4 linked regions of the Arabidopsis thaliana genome follow. The protein of the gene in region 1 interacts with the protein of each later gene in a pairwise test. Each region holds a gene or a part of one and is shown on either strand. Other genes may lie near its edges. The genes, in order: PUP3, AT2G18480, CAT7 and CAT4.

Region 1 (6,594 bases):
GGTCTTACTGCATGCTGAATTTTCCTTTATTGACACGTATCTAATCTTCTTTTGGTCACAGGTTGCTAATGATTCAACTTTCACTAGGGATGGCTCAGATATATATGTGGATGCTAATATTAGCTTTACACAAGTAAGCACACTGGTGAATCCTGAATTTTGGGTTATAAGCAGAGCAGTACCTTCGAAACTCATGTTTTTTCTGCATGGTGACACTTTGTGGTCAAAACTCAAAAGCCTTAACTGCTAGCTGATAAAGCTCTGCAGTAACATAATTTAGGCATGTCCTATGATAAAATAAAACCTCTTAGAGGACATAAACTAGAGAAAAGTTATCTGGAGTCTAGCTGAAAATTAATGAGTTTTGTCCTATTCAACTGGTTTATGTGCCAAAAGTTTACTAAACTACTAGGTTTAATAATATTAGCTAGTAGCATCTTTATCATTATGTATATGATGCGCTTATTCTCTAAACTAGATAATGTGGCATATCGGTTCAAACTCAATTTGATGGCCCCAGTCATAAAACTCAAGTGCATGCTACTGCACTATTTTGCCACCAAGCCATAGTACCTCGGCTGCAGTATTTTTCTATTATAGTGCATCCTTTCATCTCTTATGGTTCACGTTGTTCCTACTATTTCTCCCTTGAGCCATACTGGACATGTCTTAGAAAACTTATTTGACAGGCTATTTTGGGGGGCAAAGTTGTGGTGCCAACACTTTCAGGCAAGATACAGCTAGATGTAAGATTCGTCTCCCAGTGAGATTCATATAATATTTTGTTTGTTTATAATTTGAGTCAAGTTGGTTTTCATCCTCTGACCAAGAGGAAGGTTAGATCTCAAGGCTTTGGAGATAATAGAGGTACCTTATTGTAATTGTTGCAGATACCAAAGGGGACTCAGCCTGATCAACTTCTTGTTTTAAGAGGCAAAGGTACATATAATTATCAGCCTATATGTTCAATTTTTTTTGTGTATTTGCGTGTACTCTTCTTAATAGGTTAGTTCCTGCAGGACTACCGAAGCAAGGCTTTTTTGTAGATCATGGAGATCAGTATGTTCGCTTCCGCGTTAACTTTCCTACGTAAGATTTCTTTTACTTGAAGTTCAAGTAATACACTTGTTGGAGACATCCACATTATGCTATGCTAAAAACTCTACTAGTGTTTAGAATGGAAAAGACACTTTGTTGCTCTAAAGTTACGGTTTTTGAAATAATTTTCCTAGGACAACATTGTGTTAATTTCCCTGCCGTCTGATTATTAAATCTGATTACATAAGCTTCTTGATGTTCTGGTGGCATGTGGATGTGTTGGATTCTCTTCTTTTCATTTCCGTCAAGAGCTAATATTGATAGATTTCTGGTATATGCTTATGCGGTTTACTTTTTTCCTTGTATCTACTAGTGAAGTGAATGAACGTCAGCGTGCTATACTGGAAGAGTTTGCAAAGGAAGAAATCAACAATGAGTTGAGCGACTCTGCTGAAGGAAGTTGGTAAGTAAATTTTATTATTGTGTTTATAACAGCATATTGTGTGTAATATTAGATGGTTAGACGTAAATGGACATCTGGTATAATTCACCTCAAAGGAATGTAGTTGGTTACAATAGAAGAATTAGTGATGCTTATACATTACTGGTACATTTTCTAGGCCTGCTTAGAAATAAGAGTTAGAAAAGGCGGATATGTAGATAACAACAAGACATAATTGAAAAATGAGATACCTAGGTTCTCTTATAAGAAATAACTAGAAGCTCTAAGGGAAACAGTGTAAGAAAGCCAAAATGTCTGTTGGGGCTTTTTCTTTACATTTTGATTCAACTGAATGTTATTTCCTCACTAGCGATTGTTCCTTATAGTAATGAAGAATCATGAATATGAACCAAACAGGCTTTACCAGAAGCTCTCTACTGGTTGAACTTACAGGTGGAATCTAACGGGTCCTCAGATCATCCGCGACTTCTCGTTAATGGTGCTGCTGGCGCTATTGTTGAGCAGGTTAATGGGATGAAGCCACCACGAGAGATGAAAGATAAAAGCATTCAACAGAAGACAAATGAAGACTAATTTCATCTATTGCTGGTAGAACAAAAAGCTCACCAGCATAACAGAGAGTGTCATTGTTTGACCTCATAATTCTATTACAAACTCATTTGATGTGAATAATAAGAGACATCAAACAAGTTAAGCTGAAATAAAGAAAAGAAAAAAAAAAGTCCTTTAAGATTGTGTTTTCGGCATAATCCCACAAGTTTCTCAAACATATCTTCTAATCTACTTGGCGGAGAAATGAGTGCTATGATGTCTTTAAACGAAAAGCCATGCTTCGTTGAGTTTTAACACTCACTTATGGGTCTTGACAAAGAAGATTGTTCTGTCTCCTGACTCTCCTCCTGCTGAATTCTCCTTTTATCCTCGCCAGACTTTATCTCACCATAAAAGTAAGAGACAAAGCCCCAAAGGGAGAGAGCAAGAGAAAGTCCCTTCTCAGCTTGAAACTTTTCATGGTAGAATATAACAGCTAAAACCTCTGTAATTGGCAAAAGCACTGATATCATAATACCCGAGACGAGAGACGATGTGGAGAAGATTAATCCAATGGCTCCCAAGAAGAAGCCTTGCCATATGATGGCTGAAAACACAGCCACCACATAGAACAATGCCTCTCCAAGCTTGAACTCTCTTGCTTCTTTTGGTAAGGCCTGCAAAAACAGTAAAGGGCTCAAGTCTCTGTTAAAAACTCTTTTGTATGTTTTCAGATTCAAAAGAGTGACTAACCTTGAAATCACCAGCGATGAACATACCGATGACGCTGACAATAGAAGCAAGGAGACACAAAATCAACTGGAACTCGAGCACAAGGGTATAGCTCATGGTTTGCTTAGCTTTCTGGTAAGCAAGTTCCACTAATGGCAAGATGAAAGCATACATAACAGCTGCTGCTACAGTAATCAAGAAACCAGTTATGTACTGCTTGTGAGTCTCATGAACTGGCTTATCAGTTTCGGTATGCATTCCCAAAACCGCAGCACCAACAGTCAACAACACAACAGCATTGATGGTAAAAGGAGTGAACTTATGTTTAACCATGAAGAATGAGAAGATAGCTATAAAAGCTAACTGTGAAGCAATGATAAGAGCAGCTGTAGAAACTGGAAGATAAGCTATACCATATGCATACAAGTAGTTATCAAACCCTGAGAGAATGCCTACAATAACAGCGGCGATAAGAAGACGCGGTTTGATAAGAAAGAAACTTGTACTATCACCCACATTGTTGCTTCTGCGCCGGGTAATGTAAGAGAAGAGCAGAGGAATGAAGATAACAGGAAAGCCTGCAGTTTCAAGAAACGTAGAGAACCAAATCCTTTTACCGCCATTGTTGAAGTAGAGACGCATAATCAAAGGACCTCCACAGTTTCCTATGGCTAGAATTATGCAGTTTATGATCACAAGAGCCTTCACCATTCTTGTCTGATTTCTTGTGGATAATGAAGGTTGGTGGTCGAAGGAGTTAGTTATAAGGTTTGGTGTTGCTGTGTTTTGGAACAAATTTGGTCCGGTTTTAGATTCTGTCGTGATAGATCTTTGTGTTTCTTTTTACCTAACGAGGCTTCAATGGCTAAAACATGACTTTTCCTATTTTATACCCATAAATTTTGCTAACTGTTTAATTTCGTATAAAAAACGTAGTAATTATCTTATAGACCAGATAATATCATATCTCTCATATTAATTTACGTTTCCATCAAATTCTACAGTTTTGATTATTGGATTTATTTCTTTCTAAATTTAGTGCAATGACATTAAGATTTTCAGTTCATAATTCTCTCTATAATTAGAAGATTTTAAGGATGGTTAATTGGTTCTTTGACTCTATCTCTTTTGTTTTCTCTTCTTCTTTCTATATTAGTTCTTTGATTTATATACAAATTTTTATATTAAATAGATAAATTATATTAATCTTAAATTAAAAGTGTGAAATGTTTATTTTATAAAATCGATAAATAGGATGTGATTTTATCAAATACGAAATATCCTATCTTTTACTTATCATTATCATTCTATTTCTACTACAAGTGTATTAAAATTTGCATTTATCAAATAGCTCAATATCTTTCAAATTTATTCATACTTATACACAAGAACAATAACAAAACACACAATCACACATAATATTAGGAACAAAACATAACAGTAATGCTCTGTTATAATCCTATAGAGTTATAGAAATTAAGCAACATAATCACTAACAGGAAGAATAGGCAGTTCTGTCTCCGGCGGTTGAGGTTTATCAACAACTTTCTTGCCGGATTTAAACTCGCCGTAGAAGTAAGAGACAAATCCCCAAAGAGAAAGAAGTAGAGAGACACCTTTCTCTGCCTGAAACTTCTCCCGGAAACAAACGACGGCGAAAACTTCAGTCACCGGAAGCAGAACACTTATCAGAACACCAGAAGCTAGTGATGATGCACAAAACACAATCCCTATGGCTCCTAAGAAGAAACCTTGCCATATTATTCCTGTGATCACTATCAATGCATAGTAAAACACTGATCCTCCAATCTTGAACTCTCTTGCTTCTCTTGCTATCACCTACAAAACATGTATGATGATGATTTTAGTTGATTCTCAAGTTTAATCATAATTTTAAATAGATATGGAAATACAGGATAAAGGTTTGAACAATTTTTAAATAATGTTTCTAATAAAAGATAAGGAAGACAAATCATATATATGAAAGTTGGCCAACTCTCTCCATATGATTGACACATCATCACTTTAACATGTGCCATGTGTCCACATAATAATTAATGTAAGCTTTCAACTTTTAATTTATAGATTAATGATGTATTTATTATTTAATTTTACATATTTAATTGTACTAATACTAAATTTATTTTGTTATTACATGTTGTTCAATAAAATAATTTTATTGGTTTTCTCATACTCAGAAGATTTTTTTCTGTAATCTTAACTCAAATTATGAGTGTATAGTAGTCATGGATTAGTTAATAGTTTGAATAGTTTGCATATTGTTATATATCTATATAATAAATCGCCGAGGGTGAAGAGTATGTAAGAAATTTAATCATCAAATTCTTAGGTTTCGAGAATTCCAGTATTACCCTCTATTTAATTAGTTTAAGATGAACATTGTTTAGGAATTGTGTGTATAATGCATTGTTGAGAATGTTGTTAGAAAAAATATATTTTAATACTAAGAATAATTACTTATTACATAAGTAAATGATTAGATAATTAAAAATTATATTTAAATTATACGATACAAAAAATCTGAAAATACCGCAGCGTAGCGCGGGTGATTACCTAGTATTACATAAAACCTTATTGAAATTGTTAAATATTTTATAAATTGCTCAAACCTTTATCTTGTATTTTATATAATATTTGTTTTTAATAAAAGATCAGGAAGACAAATATTACATAAAATCACATATTTTATTATAACCAGGAAATCTATATTAAAATTGTTAAATATTCTATAATATCCATATGTATTTAGAAAATGTTTAAATACAGATACCAATATATCTTGGTTGACTAGTATAGTCTAGTACCAATGATTCTGAAATAATTTCTATATATATAATTGTTTCCATGGATTTTCTCCATTAATAATACAAAAGAACAAATCTTAGTATTCCTCATTTCTTGGGAATCCAGACTAAATTTTGGCCTCTATCATAAAATGAACAAAAAAACTATATAATTTAGAAAAACATTAAAAATAGAGAATCCAAAAACTCAGCTAAAGTCTTCATCAAAATCTGCATAATATTTTTTTTATCAAGATCATCCCATGATACTCTCTCTTATACTAAAAACACAACGTGAAAAAAACTGTAAATTTCTTACCTTAAAATCTCCAACGATGAACATGCCAATGACACAGAAAAAAGTAGCAGCAAGGCACATGACCATCTGAATCTCAAGCACAAGTGGGAAAGTGATTTCTTGACGAGCTTTCTTGTAAGTTAGCTCAACGAGCGGTAATATAAAAGCATAGAGAAGAGCTGCAACCACAGTCATCAAGAACCCAACCACATACTCTTTCTTGCTCTCCTTAGCCGGTTTGTCTCCATCACTGTGTAACGCAAGGATCCCGATACCAACCGTCAACAAAACGACGGCGTTTATGGAGAACGGAGTGAACTTTTGCTTGACTAACAAGAAAGCGAAGAGAGCGTTGAAAGCTAGTTGAGTTCCGATTATGAGCGATGAAGTTGAAACTGGCAGATATGCTAATCCGTAAGAATATAAGTAGTTGTCAAGTCCTGTGAGCAACCCTATGACAATGGAGGCGATAAACAGAGGAGTTTCCATGAGGAAGAGCTTTGTTTTCCGCTTGTTTTCCGCGTTGTTAGGGTTGCGGTTGCTGCGGCGACGGCTGAGGAAGGAGACCAAGAGAGGGATGAGGATGATTGGAAAACCAGCGGTTGATAGGAAGCTCATGAACCAGATTCGTTTTCCGCCATTGGTGAAGTAGAGACGAGTTAACAAAGGACCTCCACATGTTCCTATAGTGAGGATAATACAGTTTATGATTATCAAACCATTCTTCA
Region 2 (7,388 bases), on another chromosome or scaffold:
GATCGAGACGAAGATCACTAATTTCCGTTGAACACCAACAACATAGTTATCAAATTCGATGCCAAAAATTGCAGACCTAGATCGAAAAAAAAATATGATAACTGGGTTTAATTGAAGAAGAACAGCTCCTTCGCATATCTCACATTCCCACCATTTCTCTTGTTCACTTTCAGCAGCATCAACAACGTCACTTTCAGCAGCATCAGCATCAACGTCACTTTCTGAACTCGTTTCTCTTGTTCGCTGCGTCAATTGCAGAGGCAAAGCAGACAGCGTTAAAAGGCGAGAAAAGCAGCGAATCAAATATCATATCCTAAACAGTCAAATAATTCAGCTTAAGCATAGATGTTCCTAAATTCACAAAGGCATAGAGTTTTTTGTGCCAATCCCATAATTGATCCCCAAAACAAGTCCAAATATTTTCAAGAACTTTATCACCATGCCACACAAAAATCATAGATGTGTTCTTGGCTCTTACACAAACAAAATAAGGAAAAAAAACGAGTCCCAACATTTTCAAGAACTTTATCACCATGCCACACAAAAATTCGTACCAACAATTAGTTTGGCCAATTTTAATGGCCTCCGTTACATTTTGAATTGCGTCCATCACTTCATCCCACTTACAATACTTTGTCCCCTTAAATCATTACAATATTTTTGTAACCAAATAACTAAATCTTTAACCGGACTGCCAAGTGCCAAGTGATCTCAAAATCAACAAAAATTTGCATTTTCTTACTTTTTTTTTTTTTGAACGACATTGTATTTTCTTACTTAATCTGAAGTTATAGATAACTAATAAAGTGTATATCAAAGTTTTTTTCAATGTTTAAAAAGACGCGAACACATCTAACTGGAAGTGTGCCTCTTGTCTTACGGATGTCCTTCTAGTAGAACATCTATAAAAATCTGAAAATCTTTCGGAAAAACAAAAAAAAAAACTTACAAATTGTTTTCCATCTAATCACGAACTTGATCATCAGTTCTCGTGATGTTGGAAACAAAAACTCAAAATATCATCACTTCATGTGCATTTGTACTAACACATGCATATCAGTGATTCGTTGGGTTCTTCAATTTTAGTAAAAAAGTTTTTTTTTTATCAAAACCATTTCTAAAAAAATTCAATTAGAAATTACGATAATTTTGACAAAATAAGGGCTACTTTCATTATTTATTATTTATGAATTTTGAAAAAATCCTAATGTGTTGACATTGTTCAAATAAAGAACTAATAAAGTTTTAGATGGAAAAAAAAAAGAACTACGTGTTTTTTTGGTGAAACTTTTGAATAAAGTAATAAGACCTACCCATATGATGATCTAACCTACCCAAGTTATCACTTGTATCGGAAAGTCCCCAAACTTATCTTTCTGGTTGTGTCGGCCAAATGTATCCCAACTAATACACACAATTTCACTTTGAATTTCTCTTTCTCTTCTTCCAGAAGATTTCTCCTTCTATCGTTGACCTAAATGATTGATCTGTCTTGGTTATTTTGTCACACGATGTGTATGCCAATCAGCTTTGGACTACAATGCATGTTAAGGTTCGTACTAAAAAAAACTCAGCATGAAGAATGTTGGTTCGAGGACTTAAATTCTGATCTGACGTAGCTAGTCTATCGATTATCTGCCTTTAAACCAAAGCTTTTTGGATTAAAGATAGGTAATCCGTGCGTTGAAGGTATATCATTTTCTTACCCAACAAATTCATTTAACCTCATAGTATAAATTTCGTTTGGTTTTGATTTTTGATAGCGACAATATATGCCTTTTCAATTAAAAGTGAAAAGAAAAAAACGCATGCCATTTACTTGTTTGAGTAAGTTACTCATTATGGTATATGCTCTTCAAGAAAACAAATCAAATACTACTTTTTCGTCACGTATCTTTCTTTTTCAGCTCACCAAAATATAACTTTCAAGGAATCATATCAAAACTTTACTATTTACATGGATTTTGTGCATTTGCATAATTTACGTATACAAATCCCAAAGGTTAGCGTTTTTGCCAACTATATATATAGATACTAGCTAGATGATTATCCAGATTTACTTCTTCTTTTTTAATAATATATATATCGTATATCCATTAAATGTGTAAACCTTTACTTCTAACAGATTTAGAGATCTATAAAACGTATACACTAAGAATTATTTAGAAAAACTAGAAGTTTGAAATAAGTTATTGTCTCTCTAATACACCAATATTGCTTCTTATGTTCATTACAATTTTACAAATGTATGCTTACCAGATTACAAAAGCATGTTGAAAATTCGAAGTTATGATACCAATTTATTAGTAGCGAATGTAAAAAAGACTAAACATAAATTGGACGTAGTCCACCAAGATATATAATGTTATAATTAGCGGGGTAAAATATTGATTTAATACTGGAGGCGTAATAACATCTTGTTTCAGAATTCCAACAACGTACGAGTAAGAAAAACAAAAATACAGTTCTCAACAGACTAATTGGACGTAAAACTCTAGGCCAGCCAAACTGACAAAGCATATGACAAAAATATAAATGATAGAATTGGCAATTTCAGAATTTTCCATCGATCATGCTAAAATGAACATTAGTTGGAACCCAAAAACATTTTTGTTTATCTTGCACATACAAACAGAGCTATAGGTTACGTTATGACTTATGATGTTCTGATTTATTGATCAAATCACACATCAGTTTTTTCCCAACAGATATCAATTTCATTATGTAATGATACATATAGTCTGATAGTATTATTCGTCTGTTGAGAACAACGGCTTTTTGTTGGATACAAGTTTTTTTGTTTCGTCAAAACAAGTTTAATTTTGGACTTCATCACTTCAATAAGAAAAAGAAACCAACTGAAAATAAATGCACCGTATAAATTTAGTTCACCAAATTATATAAATGTGGAAAAGAATCTTTAAAGGTTACGCCACTATTGAACATAGATCAGGAAAATGCCGAAAGTGAAGAAGATGGCGACTTTTAACTTACAATATTAGCAATATTTTTGGTCATATCGTATTAAAATTGATGACCTACCATTTAAAAATGGTGGATATAACTTCTTCTAGCATATGTTACTATAATGAATGATCAATTCTGAATTCTCATACATATGACTTCACAACGGAAACTTTTTGCTTTAGAGTTTCATAAATAGTTTACGACATACAATTTTTCATGCATTCCACTCACGAGAACAACTTTATACGTAACATGCAATTGCAAAACTACAATAATCGGGTTTACATGTAACATAGCATCTAATAAAAATCTTCACTTCCTTTATTAAAAAATAATAAAAATTGAAAACAAGAAGACCAAGTTCAAGTTCAACGAAGGTCGTCACAAATTATTTGAAGACCGTGTGCGAAACCATTTTTTAAACTCATTGTAACCTTTTAATTATTATTTTAACTTACGTATGTATTGGTTAAAACTTAAAACACTTGCCTGATTACACTACTTTTTTTTTTTGTTGGAAATCTTTTCAATTTATTTTGCTCGATATACTTCTCAGGTTGTATACGTCTAAATCTTGAGGAAAATTCATATCTTGCAGAAATATAATTCTCGTACCAGAATACGTGGGCACCCACAAACACTGTGGAACAACAGTAGAAGTTTTTGATCGTCATTGTTCCACTATGGATGCAAGTGGTGGACATATATAGTTATGTGTATATATATACTAGTAAATGCACACAATCGATATAACAAGTTATTCTAAAATTTAACCCAAAAAAAAAAAAAGAGAAGAAAAAGACTCAACATGGTTCATGCTGATGGTCATAATTTTCCCGGTTCGGATCCAAACCCTCATATGAACAAGTTCGCTTTCGGGTGTGCCATTGTTGCTTCCATCATTTCTATCATCTTTGGATATGGTAACATACTAACATTCTCTACATATCAAACAAAAGTTTTCTACATATATCATATAAAGATATATTCAATGGAATTATATTAATGATTTTATATTAACGAATATTTTTTTTTTTGTAATGGTGTGTTGTCCTTAGATACGGGAGTTATGAGCGGAGCTCAGATATTTATAAGAGATGATCTAAAAATAAACGACACTCAGATTGAAGTTTTGGCCGGAATCTTGAATCTTTGTGCACTCGTCGGATCACTAACGGCGGGGAAAACGTCTGACGTCATCGGCCGACGTTACACCATAGCTCTCTCCGCCGTGATATTCTTAGTGGGCTCAGTTCTTATGGGTTACGGCCCAAACTATCCTGTTTTGATGGTCGGACGATGTATTGCCGGAGTTGGTGTAGGGTTTGCTCTCATGATAGCTCCGGTTTACTCTGCCGAGATATCCTCTGCGTCACATAGAGGCTTTCTCACTTCTCTACCTGAGCTTTGTATTAGTCTTGGGATTTTACTAGGCTATGTCTCGAATTACTGTTTTGGGAAACTGACGTTGAAACTTGGATGGAGATTGATGCTTGGAATCGCAGCGTTCCCGTCTTTGATATTGGCTTTTGGGATTACAAGAATGCCCGAGTCGCCGAGGTGGCTTGTGATGCAAGGTAGGTTAGAAGAAGCCAAGAAAATAATGGTTTTGGTATCCAATACGGAAGAAGAAGCTGAAGAACGGTTCAGAGACATCTTAACCGCTGCGGAAGTAGATGTGACAGAGATAAAAGAAGTTGGTGGCGGCGTTAAGAAGAAGAATCACGGTAAAAGTGTTTGGAGGGAGTTGGTGATAAAACCGCGACCTGCGGTGCGTTTGATCTTGATAGCGGCCGTTGGGATACACTTTTTCGAGCATGCGACGGGGATTGAGGCCGTCGTGTTGTACAGCCCGAGAATTTTCAAGAAAGCCGGAGTTGTTTCGAAAGACAAGCTCTTACTAGCCACGGTCGGTGTAGGTTTAACTAAGGCCTTTTTCATAATAATAGCCACTTTCTTGCTCGACAAGGTAGGTCGTAGAAAGCTCCTGTTGACCAGTACGGGTGGGATGGTCTTCGCATTGACCAGTTTAGCGGTTAGTCTCACGATGGTTCAGCGATTTGGGCGGTTAGCGTGGGCATTGAGTTTAAGCATCGTCTCTACGTATGCATTTGTAGCTTTTTTCTCCATAGGGCTTGGACCTATCACATGGGTGTACAGCTCCGAGATATTCCCGTTGAGACTTAGGGCTCAGGGAGCGAGTATAGGTGTTGCGGTTAATAGGATCATGAACGCGACGGTCTCAATGAGTTTTCTGTCGATGACGAAGGCGATCACGACAGGGGGCGTGTTCTTCGTATTCGCCGGAATAGCGGTGGCGGCATGGTGGTTCTTCTTCTTTATGTTGCCGGAGACGAAAGGATTGCCATTGGAGGAGATGGAGAAGCTTTTTGGTGGTGGGGGTCCTCGTGGTGATCGTGACGGACTTGAGATTCAAACTAAAACCATCTCTATTGGGGGTTTCTCATAAGAGTTTCTCACAATTAAAAAAATAAAAATAATAAAAATGAAGGAGAGAGAGTGTAGAAAGATTCTCAGAAACTTTGAGATACTCTCTACAACCCATCATGACAATTCGCTTCTCACTATTGGTTCAACTTTTTAACAAAAATATTTTTTTAATCAAAAATTCAAATTATAATATAATATTAATTTTTTTTTGTTTGAGAAACTTTGTGGGTTTCTCATGGATGGAGATGCCCTTAGAGAGTCAATAATTAGGTTAGATTATCATGGCTATGTAGAATAATTTTTAAATCCAACATGATTTGGCATATCTATTATAAGGTGTGATTTTTTGTAAAGGACAAAGTATGATTTTTATATTCATCCCTTTTTACTGTAGCTAATGAGAATCTACAACCTAATAAAAAACAATAACAATTATTTAATTATAAAATCTAATAGTTCACCAAAACAAAATCATATATCGGTTTGGATTTATAAGAGAGGGTTAAAGTTTAAATTTTATGATTAAACGAAGTTAAATACCAGTTTAGGTTTATAAACGATTTTAGATTTTAGAATCAAACGAGGTTAAATGTCGGTTTAGAGTTATAAACGGGTTTGGATTTTACAATTAGATGAGGTTAAATGTCGGTTTGAGTTTTAGAAAGAACGATTTAAGTTTAGATTTTACAATTAATCGAGTTTAAATGTCGGTTTGGATTTACAAAATAGAATTAGAGTTTAAATTTTGTAATTAAACAAAATTATATATCGGTTTGAGTTTATGAAATAGTGGTTAAGATTATAGATTTTATAATTAAATGAGTTTATTTATTTATTAGGTGACATATTCTAATTGGCTGAAAGAGGTGAATGAAAAGGTGAACCAAGAATTGTTCGATTTTTAACTACACATCTAATTCTAGACTCTAGAGTATGCATATTAATGTTTCCAGAGATCAGAAAGTGCTTAAACAAAACATATTGATCACTTCATGGTTTTTAAGTCTTAGTTTAATTGATGGAAAGGAGAGGATTACCAATACTGAAGTAGAGTCATAGTTGATATTTGAGGGGTGAGAACCCTGAGATTCGTAAAGAAATCGATGAACTTGTGCGTGAAGAAATTAGTTTGATCATGCTCAAAGGTCTAAATAATAAAAAACCTTGACATTTGTTCCCAATTGAAGTCCTTTAATTGTGAGAAAAATTATGTTGCTCTAGAGCAATATTGAAGAAAAAGGAGACATATCACATATGGGAAGACCTGAGGAGCAATGATTTGATTTGACGGACCAAAATAAACCAGAGATTTTCCTGACAAATTAAGGTAATAATGCATGAGGTTACGTGGAAATGAATCAACAATCGTTAGCTCCTAATATCACGGAGCCAAAAAGAGAAAAATTAGACCGGAGATTATTACAATTAGTAACTAACACAAAACTGTTATTAAGACAGAAAGAGAGAGAAGAGGCATGTTTCTCGGAATGAAGACAGAGCAAATCTCAATCTTCCTTTTTCACCTTATTCCTATTATCATTTTCTGATCAAATGTTCAAAAACTCTCTCCCCTTAATCTCTTCCTCTAAGGTACACACTTTCATGCTAATCTCTTAACTAATTTTGTATTAATCTCTTATATTTAGCATTACCTGTTTTGTTAACGATCTAACGAACATAATAAGACAAGAACTTGTTCCAACGTTAACACCATTTTGATTATGATCTGTTTTTTCTACGTGTTGTTGTTGTTGTTCTCAGAATAATTGAGTGGTTAAGGGAGAGAGGAGACGGAGAGTTTTTATTTTCGTTACCGGAAAATTTTGATCTCCGATGGCTTCTTCTCCTGAATCTGCTCCTCCAACAAACTCCACCTCTTCTCCATCTCCACCGTCTAATACCAATTCAACCACCTCTTCTCCGCCGGCTCCGTCTCCTCCTTCTCCTACACCTCCTCAAGGAGACTCATC
Region 3 (8,671 bases), on another chromosome or scaffold:
CCATTAGCCTTGAACCGATCGGTTTAATACGGTTTTCGATTTTTATGTATCCACTTCTGGTTAAGGACAATGACCATGGCGGAAACTGGAGATCGAAGACAGAACTGTGGAATTGAAACTGAACAGCGAAGGAGGAGCCGCTTGAAGAAGAACGGGGAATGGGTCGACTCTCATGGGCCAGTCCGATTCAGAGATTCCGTTTCTTCTCTTACTTATCTCAGGTTCTCTTCGTCTCTAATGTTTCTCAACAATTCTTAGCTTGAGTATAAGAAAGAAAGATTTGATTTTTCAGATGAAGAAACTAGGACAACAATCCAACCAAAATAAAGTTATCTCCTTTAGAGTAGCATTGATGATTTGCCCAAGCTCCTGACTAAACGAATGTCTCTTGTGTTTACTCTTATCTTGCTTTGTAGCTGAATGGAAGAAGAAGCGTTTTGGCTTGCTCTGGCTAAGATTCGATTTTGTGAAGTTACAGTTTGATTCTGACTTGCTTTTGTTCTTCACTCCATTAGCTTTTTATTTATCTAAAAAGGACTTGCTTGTACCAGGTTATTGCGCTTATCTTGATGCAGAGAATGCCATGGATCCTTCTCTAGCAGAATCAATAGGTGTGAACACAGAAGAGCTTCTGATATCACGACCTGATTCTGCTGAAAATTACGGACAAAGACTACACACCCTGACCATTTTTTGTGCAAAACACACCCTTACATAGAAAACGTTTTTGATATCATTTTCTTATCACAAAACAATTGAAGAGATGAATTACATGCTGTTTTCAATTTATTGCAACTCCAAATCATAGTTCAAAATGGACCAAAAAGTCAATTTTCGAGACAACTGATTTAAACGGGCTTTTAATATGAGGCCCATTTTAAATCAGTGGGCATAGAATCTATCAATCGGAACAATTAAGACAATCGTTTTGAATTTCAGCTCCTTGTGATCAAATTCCATTGTTTTTGCTGCCAAACGAACAACACCAACGTTATCCATGTTTTTAGTTATGACTTAACAAATTGGACATTTACAAATATTCGATATAACGAAAAGGAATAAAGCAAACTTGATTTGTGCTTTTATTGGTGGAGGTGTATAACAATATCCGATCTTGCAAGATGCCAAATACTTGCTGCTGTTTTTAGCATCTAATCTAAAGTATCATCCCTTTTCTAAATTTTATGGAAATATAAAAAAATTCATTTATTCACAAACTTTATTGCCATCTTTATCTTCTACGGTATTATCCATTTTAACAAATCACTATTAGATACATGTCACTATGATCAAAATTCAAAAGTTGATAAATACTTTTGTCAAACCATTCTACAATTTTGTACAGTTATATTTGTTGGGTTGTCTTTATTTAGTGGCTTTCGAATATTTGTTTTTGGGAGGATTACAAAATATTCTATATCTGTAAAAAGAATGTCAAAATCTAATTCTGAAAATCAAGATACAATCTTTCAGAAAGAAGAAGTCAGTCAACAAAGATGGAGAAAGAAACTATTTCAAGTTGCAACATCTTCAAAAGCAAGAAAGTGAGATTCTATTGACTACACTGAAAATGGACTTCACTAGCTTCTGTAAACATTACATCAACCTCTACTCTCTCTAGTCTAGGCTCCTCTAATTGTCCAACACAAAATGACAAATTCGTTTTGTTTTTGTTCAGATAGACAAAATTGCATGTCACCAAGATTTTTTTCCTTTTGGTCAAATTGTCACCAAGTTCTGTTTATTAATTAACTCAACACTCTGTTAATTCTTTCAAGGCTTTCCACGTCTTTGAAATCAAGAGACCCGTCTCCTTCAGCATCATAGCTTGCATGAACACTATAAAACACATACACGAGCACCACTAATCCCGAGAAGAACCCGAATCTGATATACGAAGGAGCATCCAATGATCCAAGCAAGAAAATGTTCAAAAATATCGAAACGCATGGAGTCCACGGCATCAACGGTACACCCCAAAACTCAGGGATCCTAGCTTGAGGTACAACACAATGGAATATCTGGACGATGGCTATAGCCGTGACCGTGCTAGCTCCAAGTATGAACCATTTAGGTGGGCCCGACGGTGCAAGTTGCCAGACCAAGGTAAACAAAATTGAGGTTATGGAGAATAGGCAGAGGAAGGAGAGTGTTGGCCATGGCTCCGTGTATCCGACCGTTACGTAACGGCGAAATATAACAGCGTTTGCGACCATATAGAAGACGAAGAGCGTTCCGATGGAGACTAGGTTTAGGAGGACGTTTAGGTCGGTGAAGAGGGCGAGAACCGCCGTGAAGATTCCTGAACAAAAAGTATAGACAAGATTAAAGAGTTAAGCAGAGGGATATGACAAGATCCTTATTCTTTAGTTAATTTAATCAATCAGATTAGTGTCTAATAACGTAGATATATTCCAAGATGTTTAAAGGTCGATTATATAAATAAAATGAAGATATTGCAAGAATCTGTTCCATTAGTTCACTTGTGGAATAAGACACCTTTTTGTGAAAGATTTTGAGCTTTTGTTCCACGTTCAAGATCTCTCTTGGTCTTTGTTCAAAAATATTATAAATCAAAGTCTAGTTACATTAGTGGATGCAAAATTTGGTAAACTACAGTTGTTTTATTTGAGGCTTAGAGTATGTGTACAAATTCTTTTATTTATTTATTTTTTTAGTTTTTGGTTTACAGAATATAGTATCCAAAACTTTTAGAACAGCACTTTAAATTTGGAATAAATATATAAGAAACCAATGCTTATAAGAAGGAATATGCAATTGAAAACAAAACTGTGGGTCTAGATTCGCTTCCACGACTCATGCATTTTGGTAAAACTATAGTATAAAAAACGATTCCAAAATCTTACTCACCAATATCTTAACTAAGATGTTATACGTAAACGTTGCATATAAAGAGTTGGAAATTTGAGAGCTTGAAAAAGAGAAAATGCTTGAATACATAAACTAAAAAACAAAAAAGGACCAAAGAGACTCAACAATATGTCCCAAACAAAACCGTTGAAAAGATTGAAGCCATTTGGTGAACACGACCACGAGATTTTTATCGTATACGATGCTCTAAATTAAGACCCAACACCAAAAATCATATAAGAACAAAAGACTATGGCCTACATTAATATAGATCACACAGTCACACAGCTACAAACCACAATCCCAAACAAGATCAGTTGGAGAAATTTTATGTTTTAAATAGTAAACAACAAAATTCAATTTTCTTGATTTCTCCTTCCCTACGAGTATATGTATGTAAAATCACGTGAAAAGTAAGATCAACAATACAATGAAATCCAAAAAGATCATGGAAACAAACAAACAAACAAAAACCCAAAATGGATGTCCCCACTATCAAACTGTCTCTTTATCACTTGATGAAAATAAAACAGAGAAAAAACATAAAACCGATCTTTACGAAAGGAAAATTCCAACATAACCTTAAAAATAAATAATATTTAACTTATTATATTTGATCAAAGATGTTAATTTTAATAGAATGAAAATAAATATGTTTGAGAGTAAGGACAAAAAGTTACCAAGAAAAGCGGAAGCGTTGACTGGAGTAGATGTCTTGGGATGAACCTTAGCAAACCAAATGGGGACAACTCTTGACCGTCCGATGACGCACATGTACCGAGCCTGACCCAACATGGCTACTATCAACGACGTTAATATCCCGAAACTTGCTCCAATCCCAACCACTCTCGTCACCCATTCCCATCCTTCCGATTTACTAAACGCCGCCGAATACGGTGCCTCCGCATCTATCTGCTTACGTACACACAACCACACCAAATCATTCACCCACAAAACCCATAGAAAAAAGCTTAAATTAAAAATGTGTATTTGATGGTACGGACCAGATCGTACGGGAGAAGCATTGACATAGAGATAGCCATTAAACAGTAAAGTACAATGACGATTGCGACTGAGCCAGAGATTCCCATTGGTATGTCTTTGACTGGGTCTTTTACTTCTTCAGCCATTGTCGAAACGGCGTCGTATCCTATGTAACTTAGATAAACCATTGCTGCTCCGTTAAACACACCCGAAACTCCAAACGGGAAGAATCCGGATGGGTTTTCCGGGTTATCGGGTCGGGTTAAATTCTTTACGTCTCCTTTCGAGAAACCCATGACGATCACGAATACTATAAATGCAATGTGTAACGCCGTTAATACCATATTCACCTTCGAACTCTCTCTCGTACTGTAACAGATGACGAACGTGACGGCGAGGACGACGATAACGGCGATGGGATCGATTTCGTTGAATCCGTTTGGGAGACCGGAGACGATGAATCTCCACTCCGATGTTGAGATTCCGAATGCAGATCCGAGATAAGCGGTGAATCCTCTTGAAACGGCGGCGTTTGACAGTACGTAGTCCATTATCAGATTTGCTCCGGTTATAAACGCCGGAAACTCGCCTGTAACGGAAAAAAATGAATGATCGGAGAGGAAAAAATGAAATTTGAATTTCTCTGCGATTTGGGAGTTTTGATTTTGGCGGGAGAATGTTACTGACCGAATGTGATACGGATGTAGCTGAAAGCACCGCCGGCGACGGGGAGGTGAACGGCGAACTCGGTGTAACAGAAGGCGGAGAGTAGAGCACAGAGTCCGGCGATTGCGTAAGAGACGACGATTGATGGACCAGCGTAGAGACGACTAGCACGGCCGGTGGTGACGAAGACTCCGGCTCCGATCATTCCACCGATTCCGAGTCCGATGAGATCGTACCAACGGAGAGTACGACGCATCTGCTCGCCGGAGACGGCGCGGACGCGGCTCATCTCGTCGTAAGAGGTGGAAACGGAAACGGCTCGGCGGGAAAAACGGGAGGGAGTGTCGGAGAGAGAGTTGAGGTAGACACGGAGGCTAGAGAAAGAGGTGTCTCCGTCGTGGTTCCGGTATTGGGCCTCCATTTCGGGTCGGGTCAATATGTAACGGATTATAATGTTTTTGAGAGTAATTTGAAACAAGTGGTTTTATAATGTGAGATTGCAAAAGACTGAGAGACGAAAAAAAGAATTAGACGCTTTTTGGTGTAATTTATTACAAGCTTTGGAAACGCTAATTATTATTATTATTTTGGTCAACTTAGTTTTATTATATTAAAGTAGCTTCTATTTTTTTGTATTCATAATGATCAGTGATCACATAAGCATCGACTAAAATAAATAAATCACGTAAGCATTAACACAAATATTCTATAATCTGTTCGGTCTCCCAATTTTTATTATTTGAGTTTAGACGGCAAATATTTAATTCCTAGTATAAATAATGAATGCTTATTTTTCCTTGGACAATGGTCGATAATAATCACAACTTGTTTGTTTAACGAATGCAACCAACGAACATGGATAAAAATGTTACTCTTTTAAGTATCAGAGTGACCAACCAGTAACCGGGATCGTTGCAATCCGTCGCAATATTCACAACTTGGTGAATAATTATGATTGATTATTTTCCTTTTCGTGTGAAGAGAGTTTGAAAAAATAAACAATTTTTTGTTTCTTTCATGTTAATGAAAGTTCTTAATTTCTAAAGTTTTGACTATTTATTTTATTTGTGTGGTATTAGGTCTATAATCTTTTGTATGTTAAATTTTTAATTTTTAACACGTGTGAAAACATAAATTTGTTTATACACGTGTTATAATCTAATTGGCTGTAACACGTATCATAATTCTGATTGCTAACACGTGTGAAAATAAAAATTTATTTGTACACGTATCATAATCTAATTGGCTAAAATCGTCAATATTATAAAACAAATTTAATAAAAAGGATATAGGAAACTAAATGAATGACAATAAATCAGTAGAAAGAAATAAAATAAAGACTTTGTATGCAATATAGCAAAATCTGAAATAAAATTTACCCTTTGAATATAAGAAAAAGGAAGGAAACTTAATACACCCCAATTTGAGAGAAGAGAAGCCATATATTTTTTGTTACTTGAGTTGATTTATAAGCTGCCATATCCCTTACATGAGTTATTATATATACTGTAGTTCTCCAGATTCACACCATTCTGTTTTGTAGACTTCATTTTCCTTAATTTGTTTTGGGAATCATGGCTGAAAATTCATGGACGACAGAGGAGAACGAGATGTTCAAGGATGCACTGGTGATGTTCACTGCCTTTTTGCTTACTCGGTTTGAGAGTGTCGCCGAGTATGTGGATAGATCGGTGGATGATGTTAAGGAGCATTACAAGGAATTGGTCAATGATCTTTTAGAGATGGGATCCAGTCGAGTAGCTTTTCCTAATGAATTGACTAAGGATATGGCTCAAAGTTCGTACCAGGCCGAGAGAACTATATGGACCAAAGAAACACATGAGTAAGTATATAAGATTAATGAGTGATGAGTTATGATTTTTGTTAGTTAGTGGAATTTACATACACGTATAAGTTTCAATTATAAACATAATGATTGATTAGTACTGGTATTGGTTTGTGGATCTAGCTAGACGCATTCTCCTCTTAGACTCCATAATTCACATAGTTCATTTCTGAGATTAAAATGTATTTAGTCCTATGATCTTACGATTTACACATTCTAGCATTATTTTTTTAATGTGGACAATATAGTTTTTTTTTTTTTTTCATTTGACTCAATTTATATCGTTAACTAATAATGCCATGGTGAAACTTGATTAAAATGGGCTGATCTATGAACTGGTGGAAATTGTAATGCAGATGGTTTCTGATTGGGTTAGACCGATTTGGGAAAGATTGGCGTAAAATAGCCGTCTTATTGGATTGCAAGAGCCCGATCCAAGTCGAGATATATGCAGAAAACTTTTACCAGTGGCAAAGCTCAAAGAAAAATGTGATTAACGACTTAAATGTGGCAAGCACCGATGTGAATGTGATGAAACGGCAGGGAGCAAATAACACCAATGTGGACTCAACAGGCCAACAAGAGAGTCTCGTCGCTCTGGAAATCGGTCACCATGCTAAGGCCCCCAACTCAAAGTGATATAAATCTCTATGACTGTATTAACAACCAAAAAATAAAAAGCCTAAAGATATTGAAGGCCCTTGATTATTTTTTTTGTGTGGTATGTTAAAGATTTGGGATTTCCATTTTTTTGGCAAACCATATTTTATTTAATTTTGTGGTCATCTATATTATTTTCTTTAACCATTAAAATAATATATATTTCAATGTTTTTATTTTTTGCTTTATTTCATCTAGGCTAAACAGAAGATACACGTAAGATGGAGCTTTCAAGTTAAGTACGTAGTATATATAAAGTTGGGGTTAAATAGGAAACTAAAATAACTTGAAATTACACTCCAAGTTTTACCCACTGCGTACGTCTAAACGTAAACGAGAAGAAAACTTCTGAGTCAAGTTGTGCGTGTTTAAATACGAAATCGTGTTTCTTTTTGTAAAGTGAGGGCTAATTTTGTAATTTTCACCCATTACTTGATCCTCTATAAATTGTCAGGTTGCCAAAATTAAAACGAACAAACAATCGCTCTTCCGTAACATATTCCACAAAACGATCTTCTTGTTTCTTGAATTTTTAGCCATCTCTTTTTTTTTTTCTCATTTTCTCGGATACTATGGCTTCGAGTCCACGCTGGACGGAGGACGACAACAGGCGTTTTAAGTCAGCTCTGTCGCAATTCCCTCCGGATAACAAGCGTTTGGTGAATGTCGCCCAGCATCTGCCGAAACCTTTGGAGGAGGTGAAGTACTACTACGAAAAGTTGGTCAACGATGTTTATCTGCCGAAACCTTTAGAGAATGTCACCCAGCATCTGCAGAAACCTATGGAAATGGAGGAGATGAAGTACATGTACGAAAAGATGGCCAACGATGTTAATCAGATGCCCGAGTACGTACCACTGGCGGAATCGAGTCAGTCCAAACGCAGGAAGAAGGATACGCCAAATCCTTGGACAGAAGAGGAACACAGGTTAGTCATCAAATACTTATGAATTAGGGTTTCTTTTGATTGAGGAAAAGTCTTAAATCTTGAGGAAAAGTATAAGTTAACAGTTCAAATCTCACAAAAAATGATTAGTTTGGGTTTTGTTGATTAGGGTAACGTATACAAGTATTTTTCTTCAGATAGATGTAATTATCAATTTGATTTATATTAATTTTAACATGATGATGCTGATTATGATAATATCTAGGTTATTAATTCTTATGATTTTGATTGTTTAATGATATATTTCAGATTGTTTCTGCAAGGATTGAAAAAGTATGGGGAAGGAGCTTCGACGTTGACATCAACGAATTTTGTGAAGACAAAGACTCCACGGCAAGTGTCAAGCCATGCACAGTATTACAAAAGGCAAAAATCGGACAATAAGAAGGAGAAACGCCGGAGTATTTTTGACATAACTTTGGAGTCTACCGAGGGCAATCCAGATTCTGGAAATCAGAACCCTCCGGATGATGATGATCCGTCCCAAGGTCAAGGCACTTGTCTTGGAGTTTAGATGTTGGAAGATAGAAGAATGGTGTGAAATGAAACAAGCAACGGAACTTGAACTCAAAAATAGATAATATATATATATATATATATAGATTTAATATAATAAAAAAGGAACTTCGCTTGTTTTCTGCATATGTATAGGATTGCTACGTAGTTTCGGTATACAAAAATATCAGTTTCACTTGATG
Region 4 (9,721 bases), on another chromosome or scaffold:
GGCAATTGATGTAGCGAGTCTAGAAAGGGCGAAAGCGATTATTAGTGGATTGACAATGGTTCCCTCTGTTGGTGATATCTACAGGTATGTATCCTTCATATACCTTCTCTGACCAAAAAGCGTAAATAGATTTGGATTCTTACCTTTCTTTTTGTATCAGGAATTGTGAAATCAAGTCAATGGCTCCTTATGGTGCATTTGTAGAGATAGCGCCTGGGCGGGAAGGTCTTTGCCATATCAGTGAGCTGAGTGCTGAATGGCTTGCAAAACCAGAGGATGTGAGCATTACTCATTGATTCCCTTCCTTTATAGAAATTGTTTCATCTTTTATTCAGGTTTTCACATACGCTCATTCTTGTCCTTTCAGGCCTATAAAGTAGGAGACCGCATTGACGTCAAATTAATAGAGGTCAGCGAGTTATTGTGTCTTTATAACTCAAGAGACAATATAACTAATCGGAAATGATAATTAGAGAGTTGTTGAACAAAGAAACATGGATAATGCAGGTAAATGAAAAGGGTCAGCTTCGACTTAGTGTACGGGCTTTACTTCCCGAATCAGAGACAGACAAAGACAGTCAGAAACAACAGCCGGCAGGTGATTCTACCAAAGACAAGAGTTCGCAAAGGAAATATGTAAATACTTCGTCAAAGGACCGTGCAGCTGCAGGAGCATCAAAGGTTTCATCTGGGGATGAACTTGTCCTGAAGAAGAAAGATGTAAGGAGAGCAACTGGTGGTAGTAGTGACAAGACAATGAATAGCAATAGCAGTACCAACGAAGAAAGTTTAGTCAACGGTGAAGCTACAATCAGCTAGTGGAATGCAAACAAGATCACTGTTCATATCTGTGTCTCGTGAGACTCATTACGAAAGGAGGAGAGTTTCTTCCAACGGAACCACAGGTGCGACTTGAGAAATCTTGAAAACTTGAGACAAGACAAGTTGCAAATGTCTTTTCTTGATTTTTTTTCTAATGTTTTGTAATTATGTTTCTTGGCAGTTTCTTGAAGCTGTGCATATATGTTGGCAAGTCTGGTGTGGAGGAGGATAACATTTTTGAAGACGTCATATGTTGGGAGATTCTCAGACATTTCATCAGTTCTTTCTGTTGTCTTCTCTCTTGCAAACTCATTAGTCCGTTTAGGTTACTTGATATATTAATGTTTTTGACTAAATTTTATTTGGGATAGATGATTTTTCTTCAGCTTGTCAAAGTTTCCCAATTTTTGTTATGTTTCGAGTTATTAGATGGACTTGGCAACTTCAAGAGTTTTAAAGATCACTTAGCTAAGTGAAGAAAACTATATAACTGGATACATTTCACAACAAGAGCACATATATTTCTAAGCCTGTACAAGCAACAACAGCTTGAGGTCGAGTCCCTTTAACTGCTGCATTGAACCGCCCATATTAAGCAAGATGATCTGCAACTTTTAAATGTTCTTGCACTCTTTATCTGCAGAGTATCAAAGTTTCCCAGTTTTTGTTATGTTTCGACTTACTAGATGGACTTGGCAGTTTCAAGATCATTTAACCAATATTGGCAAACTTTATAACTGGAAATGGAAAAAGGAATAAAACATGAAATTGGCATTTAAGAGATATACATTGGCTTGTGTACATGAAAATGGAATGACTATCAATGTACATAAAATGTTGTTGTATATATTGGCTTGTGTTTACTCTTGTGCCAAACTGTTTAATTCTCTTTAGATGCTACTTCAGCAACAACAAAGCTTGAGCTCGAGTCCCTTTAACTGCAGCATTGATCCACCAATCTTAAGCAAGATGATCTGTTGTTTTTCTCGTACAAGTCATTGTGGGAACGTAAACCGCATTGTTCAGTAAGCTGTGAGATCGGCCATAGAAGATATAGATCATGCTTCCAATAAGTAGCCATATCAAGACCCTGATCCATGTCCCAGCTCTGCCATTACAAATAACCAGCAAGGGTTTAGAAACATCCCAATATACTGAATCATACATGGGTCCATCAGACTAACTCACCCAATGTTGATGATCAAGTAGGTGTTGATCAAAATGCAAAGAACTGGAAGGTATGGGACGAATGGGCAGAGAAACCCTGAAATAGAATCATATATAGAATGCCAGTTAGAAAACGCTGCTCAAGTATAAATCCAAGTTTATGGTTTTTGCTAAAACCTCAAAATTTTCGTCCTAACCAGGTAATAACCAACTCAGCAAGAAACTAATAACTAAGCAGCGTTTTTGATGAAAGTAAGACCAACCAATTGATGGCTCGCTGAATCTTATATTCAATTAAACTTCTCATTTTGTGATGTATGAGTAGGCAAAAAAAAAGGCTTGAATAAGGTTCAGGCCTTACCTCCTTTGTGTCCAAAGTTGTGCCTTTCTTCATCCTCGTCAATGTAGCCAAGAGTAATCAAACTGCCAAGCAAGATGACTGCACTGACACCACATATAGTGAAACGAGGAAAACTGCAAAAGTCAAGAAATAACCCATTAGAGTTCATAACCATATTACAAAGATAATAACATGCAAATCTTTCAACACAGCAAGTTGAAAAGTGCTTCACAAAATTCTGAAACAGGAATGCATTTTCTAATTGAGCATACTTAACCGCTTTGACATGCAAGTAGCAGTGATATCGTTCACAGCTAATCAAGCATCTCAACCAAACTAAATAGATTTGTTTAGTAGACATAATTAGATGTGGGGAATATATGCAGGACGGGTTATACAGACATAAGATATCAGATGATGAAACGACCTTGGAAGACGCTCAGCTGAAGCTGCTGAAGCAAGACCTAGGACACCTATGCACACAAGAGCTATACTCCAGGCAGCAATTTTTCTCCTCTTTCCAAAATACTTTTCATCTGTTCAATTAAAAAGAAGCAAAAAAGTCATATTTCTTAAATGCAGATAAAAGGCAGAAAAGATTGAATTGTTGGATGTATCTTTACAACATATCCAAATGGTAACTACGTGATTGAGCACATTTTAGTACCTCGAGCAGTTTCATTTCCAAGTAGAGGGGAATCAGAAGATTCTATAGCATCCACAAGAAAATTTTCAGTTTCAGCTCTACTTTCATCGGTATCACTCAAAGTTTGGGAGGAAGATGATAGGGGAACTCCATCTGGTGGTACATATCTAAGAACTAGCACACAGACTGCAACGGCAGTGAATGCCATTAGAGTGCCTACACTAACCTGTTGGATAAATTACCGATGTGAGCTACTCAGAGAAGGATCTGTTACCGTAATAGAGTGTGTTTAGGCGTGTCTCAACTAAATTATATAATACTAACTGCTTCAACAATATCAAAACTATACTACTAATAATGAACCCTCAATTTTCTGTTTGCCACTAATTGTAGGTGAAAATCCTTCCTTAAGACTTGAGACATGTAATGTAGGCAAATACCAGCTTACCATCTCGGACAACTGTGCAACATCCATGAAAAATGCGAGTGCAGCGGCAAGAACACCAATAGCTATTGTGCTTTTCACTGGTACTTGAGTTCGTGGGCTAATTTCTGAAAAGAAAGCTGGCAACAATCCATCCCTAGCCATTGCCATGAATATTCGTGGCTAATAAAAAAAAAATACAAAGCTCTGTCAAAACGACATGTAAGCATTTCCAAAACCCACACAGAACCAGCATGTTACTTTTACTACTAAGATATCTCAATTACAAAATCTCTTGAACTTGGATTTTCAGAACGATAGAATTGGTTAGTACCTGAGCCAGAAGGGAACCCAACAAACTCGCACATAGAGCAGTTATTGCCCCAGTGGTTAAGATGTACCTGAAATATATAGGAATAATAAGAAAAAAAAAAGCAAAGACAAAAGGAAGTATGTGTATATGCATCGTGACTAATTAATACAAAGAAATTTGAGTGTCAAGAGATGTATCATACTTACGCTGCCCATTGCATCCCACTGTCTCCAAATGCAGAGGAGATAGGAGTATCAGGATTCAATGAATAGTATGGGACCAATCCAACAATAACTACTGATAAAAGCATATACAAAATGCAGCATATCAGTAATGCAATCCCGATTCCCAATGGAAGATCCCTTTGAGGATTTTTCACCTGTTGTGGCAATACCAAAAGGTTAAGAGCTTAACAGAGAAAATCGCCAGAATTATGGAAAAAAAGTTCACTATACTAAGACCAAAAATCATCCTTTATTACTAGTTCTATATGGAATCGTCAAAGTGAGTCCTTTGTAGAGAAAAGAGAAGGATAATAAATCAAAAAGAATGAGAGTATTATTCAATAAACTGTATACCTCCTCAGCCGTACTAGTTACAGTATCAAATCCAATGTATGAGAAGAATACTACAGCAGATCCGGCAAGTATCCCATTTAGTCCAAAAGGAAAGTACCTGTAAAGACAAGTATTAAACATTGACTTTAAGAAATAACTTTTGACAAAAGCTACGCTCAATGGAGAAGAGAACAGGCTAATTACCCACTGGGGAGATCATATCCAACCCATCCAGTCTTGCAAGCTAAATATCCACCAACTACTATGATGAAAACCAAGGTGCAAACATTCACTGATGTTACAATTGCTTGTACTGTTGAACTCTGTAAGAACAAAATAACCCGGTATAACACTATTAGACGATCTGATAATCCTGAAATGAATCCATTTAAAATGTCTTCAATAAAGTACCTCCTTTATCCCAAAACATAGTAGTATCGTGACAATCATAATCAAAAGTGCAGCACATGGATCAACCACAATACCAACCCCGGGTATAGTTTGTCGAGCTAAGAACACAGGAAGATTGTCCAAACCACCAAAAAAAGATGCCTAAAACAAAAGAAACACCAGTCAGAATTAAATCAACAAAAGACCACAAATACATATATTTTTTTTTTGAAAATAATGTTAAATTATATTCCAAAGAAAAACGTTTTTACAACAAGTGCATCTTGGGTTTGAGAATTAGAGCTGAGAATAGTTTTGAAAAAAGAAAGAAAAGGAGCTAAGTGATTAACTTCTTGACTGAAACCAAACACATATAACTCAAAGGCAAATACCAGATTTGGAGTTATGCCACGGGCAATGGCTGATCCACCAATTGTATAATCCAACACCAGTGCCCAACCAACCAACCAAGCAATCCTATGAAATAAGAAAATCCATGAGTATCAGCTTTAAGACGAACAACAAGGTCAATCCTATTAAAATCCATATATATATACCCTTCTCCAAGACAAATGTACGCATAATGATAAGCACTCCCAGCAGATGGACAACGAGAAGCAAGCTCAGCATAACAACAGGCAGAGAGAGCAGCAGCTACTCCAGCAATGAAGAATGATACAGCAAGAGCAGGTCCTGTGTGCTCTCTAGCTACCGTTCCCACAAGAATATACACTCCTGCTCCAATTGTTGTCCCAACTCCTGACAAATTAACACCGAAAGGAACACAATCAACACCCATAAGGAATTTTGATCAAAATTGGCCAAAGCTTGAAGCTTTCTCATACCAATAGCAACAAGATCAACGGCGGATAGTTTCTTGGCAAGCTGATGAGGTCCATCGTTTTTGATAAGATGAACAGAATCAACTTGTTTTCTTCTCACAAGACTGTTCATATCAACCAACTTTGCAGAGTCCACACCGGTTTGATTTTCCAATCGATTCAGAGCAAACCCATCTGAGTTTTTCCCAGAAAATCCAACAAAGATTGAAATTTTTTCTTCTACAGAATCCACCAGATGGAGTATCGGAGCCGGAGATAACTCGAGAGGCGTGCACGATTCCAACTTTTGTGAGATTCTCGTTGGTAAAGATTCTTCAAAGTTTAGATGACTTTTGTGATTTTGTTTATTTCTTCCTTTTTATTAACAATTGGGCTAATTTGTGCAATGGGCAACTCTTGATTCATGAATTCTCTATCCTAAGAGATTTATCTGCACCTCAGCTTAAAAACAGATTAACAGATTTTACTTTTTTTACAATGTCACAGTAAAAATTGATGGACATGTGGATCTTCTCTTTACCAAAAACAGAACGGTAATGTAAATTATAACAGATTACGCCCAAATGTTATAGACAATCAATAATCACCCGTCTAATCTCCAATTCATCAATCCTTTAGTCCAAAACACTTGAATATATAAAAAAGAAAAGTTGCAACAAATCTTGTTCCAGTACAAAACAAAAGAAAATACTCCAAACTTTACCAAGAGACAAAACTTGATTTAGGTTTGAAGCAACTATTTAAGAACCATCGAGCAGAAGAGAAAGATATTGGAGACGAAGCAGTAAGAGCTGGTTGATACACTTGGACCACTTTCTTGGTTTTAATATGGTATACGCTAATACCGCTTTCAGCATTGCGTACAAACCTCCTCCTAGGTCGATAAGGCGGGTCAGCATAAAAATATATGCAATTTTTCATAACTCCATCTTTGGCTGCAACAGTTATTCCTAGATCAAAAATAAATGCTTCGTCTCCTAAAGAATTGGTTCTGCTCCATTCTAATGATTTAGGATCCATCTTGTAGACACCCCCACTGTGTATAACGATCAAAACTTGTCCTGACAAAGTCACAGCAAGATTCTTGCCGCAAAACGAATCATTACCATAATTCGGAGATTTGAAACTTGCACATTGTATTGGAGAAGCATCAGCGTGGGAGAAATCAAGAACAGTGACGTGAGTATCAGTAAGCACGTAAAGCTTGCTTTCTTTACACACCATATCCACGCATCGTTGATTCATTAAAGGTTGAATCACTTTCCAGTTATTCTTGTCATCTCCTTTCTTGTGATATGCAAAAAAGCCATCATAATTCCAAACAACTAAGTAGTCTCTGGTTTCTTCATCTACCCACAAAACAGCTTTGCCTATTCTAAGACACATGACCATATGTGAAGTTTTTTTTTTTTTTTGCAGAATTGTTTTGGTCATTGAGAGTCACCCAAAAATTATTATTATTGATTCTCCAAAATTCTATCGGACATCCATCGGTTGCACCCAGACAAGGAAGATAAATCCTCTCTCGAGTAAACAGATTCAAGAGATGAAAATCGTTTCTATGGTCTAACATAAGGAACCATCTACCGGAACTGGCCAAACAACGACTACTAGCTAGATCAAACCCGACATCTCTTAAAGTGTAGCAACTATGGTCACGAGGATTGAACAACTTACATGATGAATTTTCTTTCCAATCTGTGTTGTATGGAAACATTATGATCCATGGAGTTGTTACTCTGATGCACGATTTCGAGGCGTAATACCATTCTGAAGAAATGCATCTGGCTCGATGAAAATCAGAGAATCTCAAGCGATCCAAGATCGATATAACCAGGTCTCGGACAAGTGTCGGCTGCTTTGGATCGTCGTTGCATGTCTTTTCCTCGGACTCACTCATCTAGGGTTTGTCTCCTGCTTCTTCTAATCAAGATACTTATATATGTTTGTTCATTTTTATTTCTTTTTGGTTAATTTCTTAAAATAAATGAATTTATTGGAAATAAATATATCTGAAAATGTTTTTATATTAAAAAAAAATACATAAAGACTTTATAATACGGTACGGTGCACTAGTTTGTTATATTGAAAATGATCAAGTACATTTGGTCCATGTTAAGTCGGTGAGAATTAATTTCCAAATCAAATTTTCAGTACTCTACACAAGTTAGATTATAAAATGATGCTTTCTTTCTTGATCGGTTTTGAGAATCAGTCTTTTGGCAATTTGATATAGCTAATGACTTGTTAAGCTCATGATCAACACTTAAACCCATGGAAGAAATGTTGGTGGGAACTAAAAGCCAAATTTATCTACAAAAACAAAACCATCTTAAGAGGATTCGTTGTTGATATTGAGTACGATTTTTCAAACTTTTCTAAGTCCAACACACTTGAATATAAAAGAAAACTTGCAAACACTCTTGTTCCAAGAGAGACAAGAAAATACTGTAGCCTTACAAAAAAGACAAAACTAGATAGTTTTAAAGCAACCATGCATCACACCCTAAATTTCTCCTGGATGAGGATCTCAAGAGCATTCACATGGTCGTGGAGGTATAAGTCCAAAAGTGCTTTGGTTTTGAATGAGTTTTCAAAAAATCCAAGCATGGTGGTTTAAACATCCTGCAACAAATAAACCAAGCTTGTTTAATTGCCGACAAGTGTATTCAATAGAAATTTTTTAAGAGTTATATATTACCCTCCAAGAGTTTTTCTAATCAAGTGTTGGAAATGGTGGCCAACTTTTTGACTTCCCATCCTCTCAGAAATCTCCTAAAAAATCATCAATAAAAAAAGTTTACAAGTCGGCTTATTTATTTTTATATATATATAATCGATTAATATTGTATTACCTCAAGCTCATCTTTTTTCATCGTGGCAAGACCACACCATGCCGTGTACATGAACAAATCCTCCCAAGTAAAGAGGTCAAAAGAGTTTTTTGACCACTTGGCATAGCATTTGACCAAATGCGCAAACTGCGAAAACAATAAATATTGATGAATATAAGTTATACCAAACATAATTATAAACAAAACATAAATATATCTATATGAGTTTACGTACCAAAACAGCGGCTGTGTAATAGTGGCCTAAAGCCATGTTGGCTAAGCCTCGTCCACATAAGGATTTATAATGGATTGCTTTCCTGTCATCAGCGTCATCAAGCTTGGGTGCGTTTGTAGATAGTTCAATCGAAAGAATGCGCGCATCCTCGAACCTTCGGCAATGGAATGCCGAGATCACAAGCAAAATACACACGGGAAGCCTAATCAACGTACCATAAGCGTCCTCTAGATGTCCAGAATTGTATTGATATCGACCAAGTTGGTCCATGTTAAGTCGGTGCACATCAAGTACATTTGGTCCATGTTAAGTCGGTGAGAATTAATTTCCAAATCAAAATTTCAGTACTCTACACGAGTTAGATTATAAAATGATGCTCTTTCTTGATCGGTTTTGAGAATCAGTCTTTTGGTAATTTGATATAGCTAATGACTTGTTAAGCTCATGATCAACACTTAAACCCATGGAAGAAATGTTGATGGGAACTAAAAGCCAAATTTATCTACAAAAACAAAACCATCTAAAGAGGATTAGTTGTTGATATATAGATAATTTGAGTACGATTTTTCAAACCTTTCTAAGTCCAAAACACTTGAATATAAAAAGAAAACTTGTAAACACTCTTGTTCCACGAGAGACAAGCAAATAATGTAGCCTTACAAAAAAGACAAAACTAGATAGTTTTAAAGCAAACATTTTCCACCGATAGTGGGGAAAAACCAACGAGCATCCTGAATAGTATTGGCAATGAAGCAGTAAGATGTTCAAACACTTGGATCACCTTTTTGGTCCCAATATGGTAGATGAAAATACTGTTACCGTTATCACCGCATAGACTAATCCCACTGTACTTATGAAAATGATCATTACTAAATATATGCAATTTTTCATAACTCCATCTTTTGCTGCAACAATTATTCCAAGATCCAAAATCAATGCTTCGTCCCCTATAGATTTGATTATGCTCCATTTTGATGACTTAGGATCCAACTTGTAGACGAAGAATAAGAACGTCCCAGGATGTGGTTCCACTCTGCTAGCAATGACCAAAACTTCTCCAGACAAAGTCACAACAGGACTTTTGTGAAACTCCAGATAAAAAATAAACTTGCACATTCCATTGGAGAATCACTACGGGAGAAATCAAACAC

The links.
Region 2: the proteins of PUP3 (region 1) and AT2G18480 interact in a protein complementation assay, tested with the Arabidopsis thaliana proteins (one large-scale study listed by BioGRID).
Region 3: the proteins of PUP3 (region 1) and CAT7 interact in a protein complementation assay, tested with the Arabidopsis thaliana proteins (one large-scale study listed by BioGRID).
Region 4: the proteins of PUP3 (region 1) and CAT4 interact in a protein complementation assay, tested with the Arabidopsis thaliana proteins (one large-scale study listed by BioGRID).

Annotation. Positions count from the first base shown.
Region 1 is NC_003070.9:9,857,960-9,864,553, forward strand, and holds PUP3 (purine permease 3), read right to left. Parts: upstream 3,610-6,594; 5' UTR 3,476-3,609; coding exon 2,786-3,475; intron 2,710-2,785; coding exon 2,344-2,709; 3' UTR 2,332-2,343; downstream 1-2,331. Other genes in the region: ATJ1 (DNAJ heat shock family protein), read left to right, coding at 62-133, 690-746, 891-939, 1,020-1,089, 1,412-1,501, 1,934-2,018; PUP1 (purine permease 1), read right to left, coding at 4,241-4,603, 5,888-6,594. UniProt on the Arabidopsis thaliana protein: May be involved in transport of purine derivatives during pollen germination and tube elongation.
Region 2 is NC_003071.7:8,007,631-8,015,018, reverse strand, and holds AT2G18480 (Major facilitator superfamily protein), read left to right. Parts: upstream 1-3,741; 5' UTR 3,742-3,775; coding exon 3,776-3,890; intron 3,891-4,025; coding exon 4,026-5,437; 3' UTR 5,438-5,918; downstream 5,919-7,388. Other genes in the region: PERK4 (roline-rich extensin-like receptor kinase 4), read left to right, coding at 7,252-7,388. UniProt on the Arabidopsis thaliana protein: Plasma membrane sugar-proton symporter.
Region 3 is NC_003074.8:3,310,240-3,318,910, reverse strand, and holds CAT7 (cationic amino acid transporter 7), read right to left. Parts: upstream 4,959-8,671; 5' UTR 4,943-4,958; coding exon 4,543-4,942; intron 4,480-4,542; exon of another isoform or gene 4,445-4,479; coding exon 3,876-4,444; intron 3,784-3,875; coding exon 3,552-3,783; intron 2,303-3,551; coding exon 1,749-2,302; 3' UTR 1,571-1,748; downstream 1-1,570. Other genes in the region: AT3G10605 (uncharacterized protein), read left to right, coding at 76-221, 552-570; AT3G10595 (Duplicated homeodomain-like superfamily protein), read left to right, coding at 6,096-6,364, 6,724-7,006; AT3G10590 (Duplicated homeodomain-like superfamily protein), read left to right, coding at 7,600-7,955, 8,223-8,487. UniProt on the Arabidopsis thaliana protein: Permease involved in the transport of the cationic amino acids.
Region 4 is NC_003074.8:924,088-933,808, forward strand, and holds CAT4 (cationic amino acid transporter 4), read right to left. Parts: upstream 5,916-9,721; 5' UTR 5,614-5,915; coding exon 5,505-5,613; intron 5,419-5,504; coding exon 5,217-5,418; intron 5,137-5,216; coding exon 5,052-5,136; intron 4,822-5,051; coding exon 4,681-4,821; intron 4,593-4,680; coding exon 4,474-4,592; intron 4,388-4,473; coding exon 4,291-4,387; intron 4,092-4,290; coding exon 3,919-4,091; intron 3,801-3,918; coding exon 3,734-3,800; intron 3,583-3,733; coding exon 3,424-3,582; intron 3,202-3,423; coding exon 2,997-3,201; intron 2,866-2,996; coding exon 2,757-2,865; intron 2,464-2,756; coding exon 2,351-2,463; intron 2,087-2,350; coding exon 2,011-2,086; intron 1,931-2,010; coding exon 1,783-1,930; 3' UTR 1,469-1,782; downstream 1-1,468. Other genes in the region: RIF10 (polyribonucleotide nucleotidyltransferase), read left to right, coding at 1-84, 161-278, 368-409, 508-819; AT3G03726 (F-box/kelch-repeat protein, putative (DUF295)), read right to left, coding at 9,254-9,301, 9,390-9,622, 9,679-9,721. UniProt on the Arabidopsis thaliana protein: Permease involved in the transport of the cationic amino acids.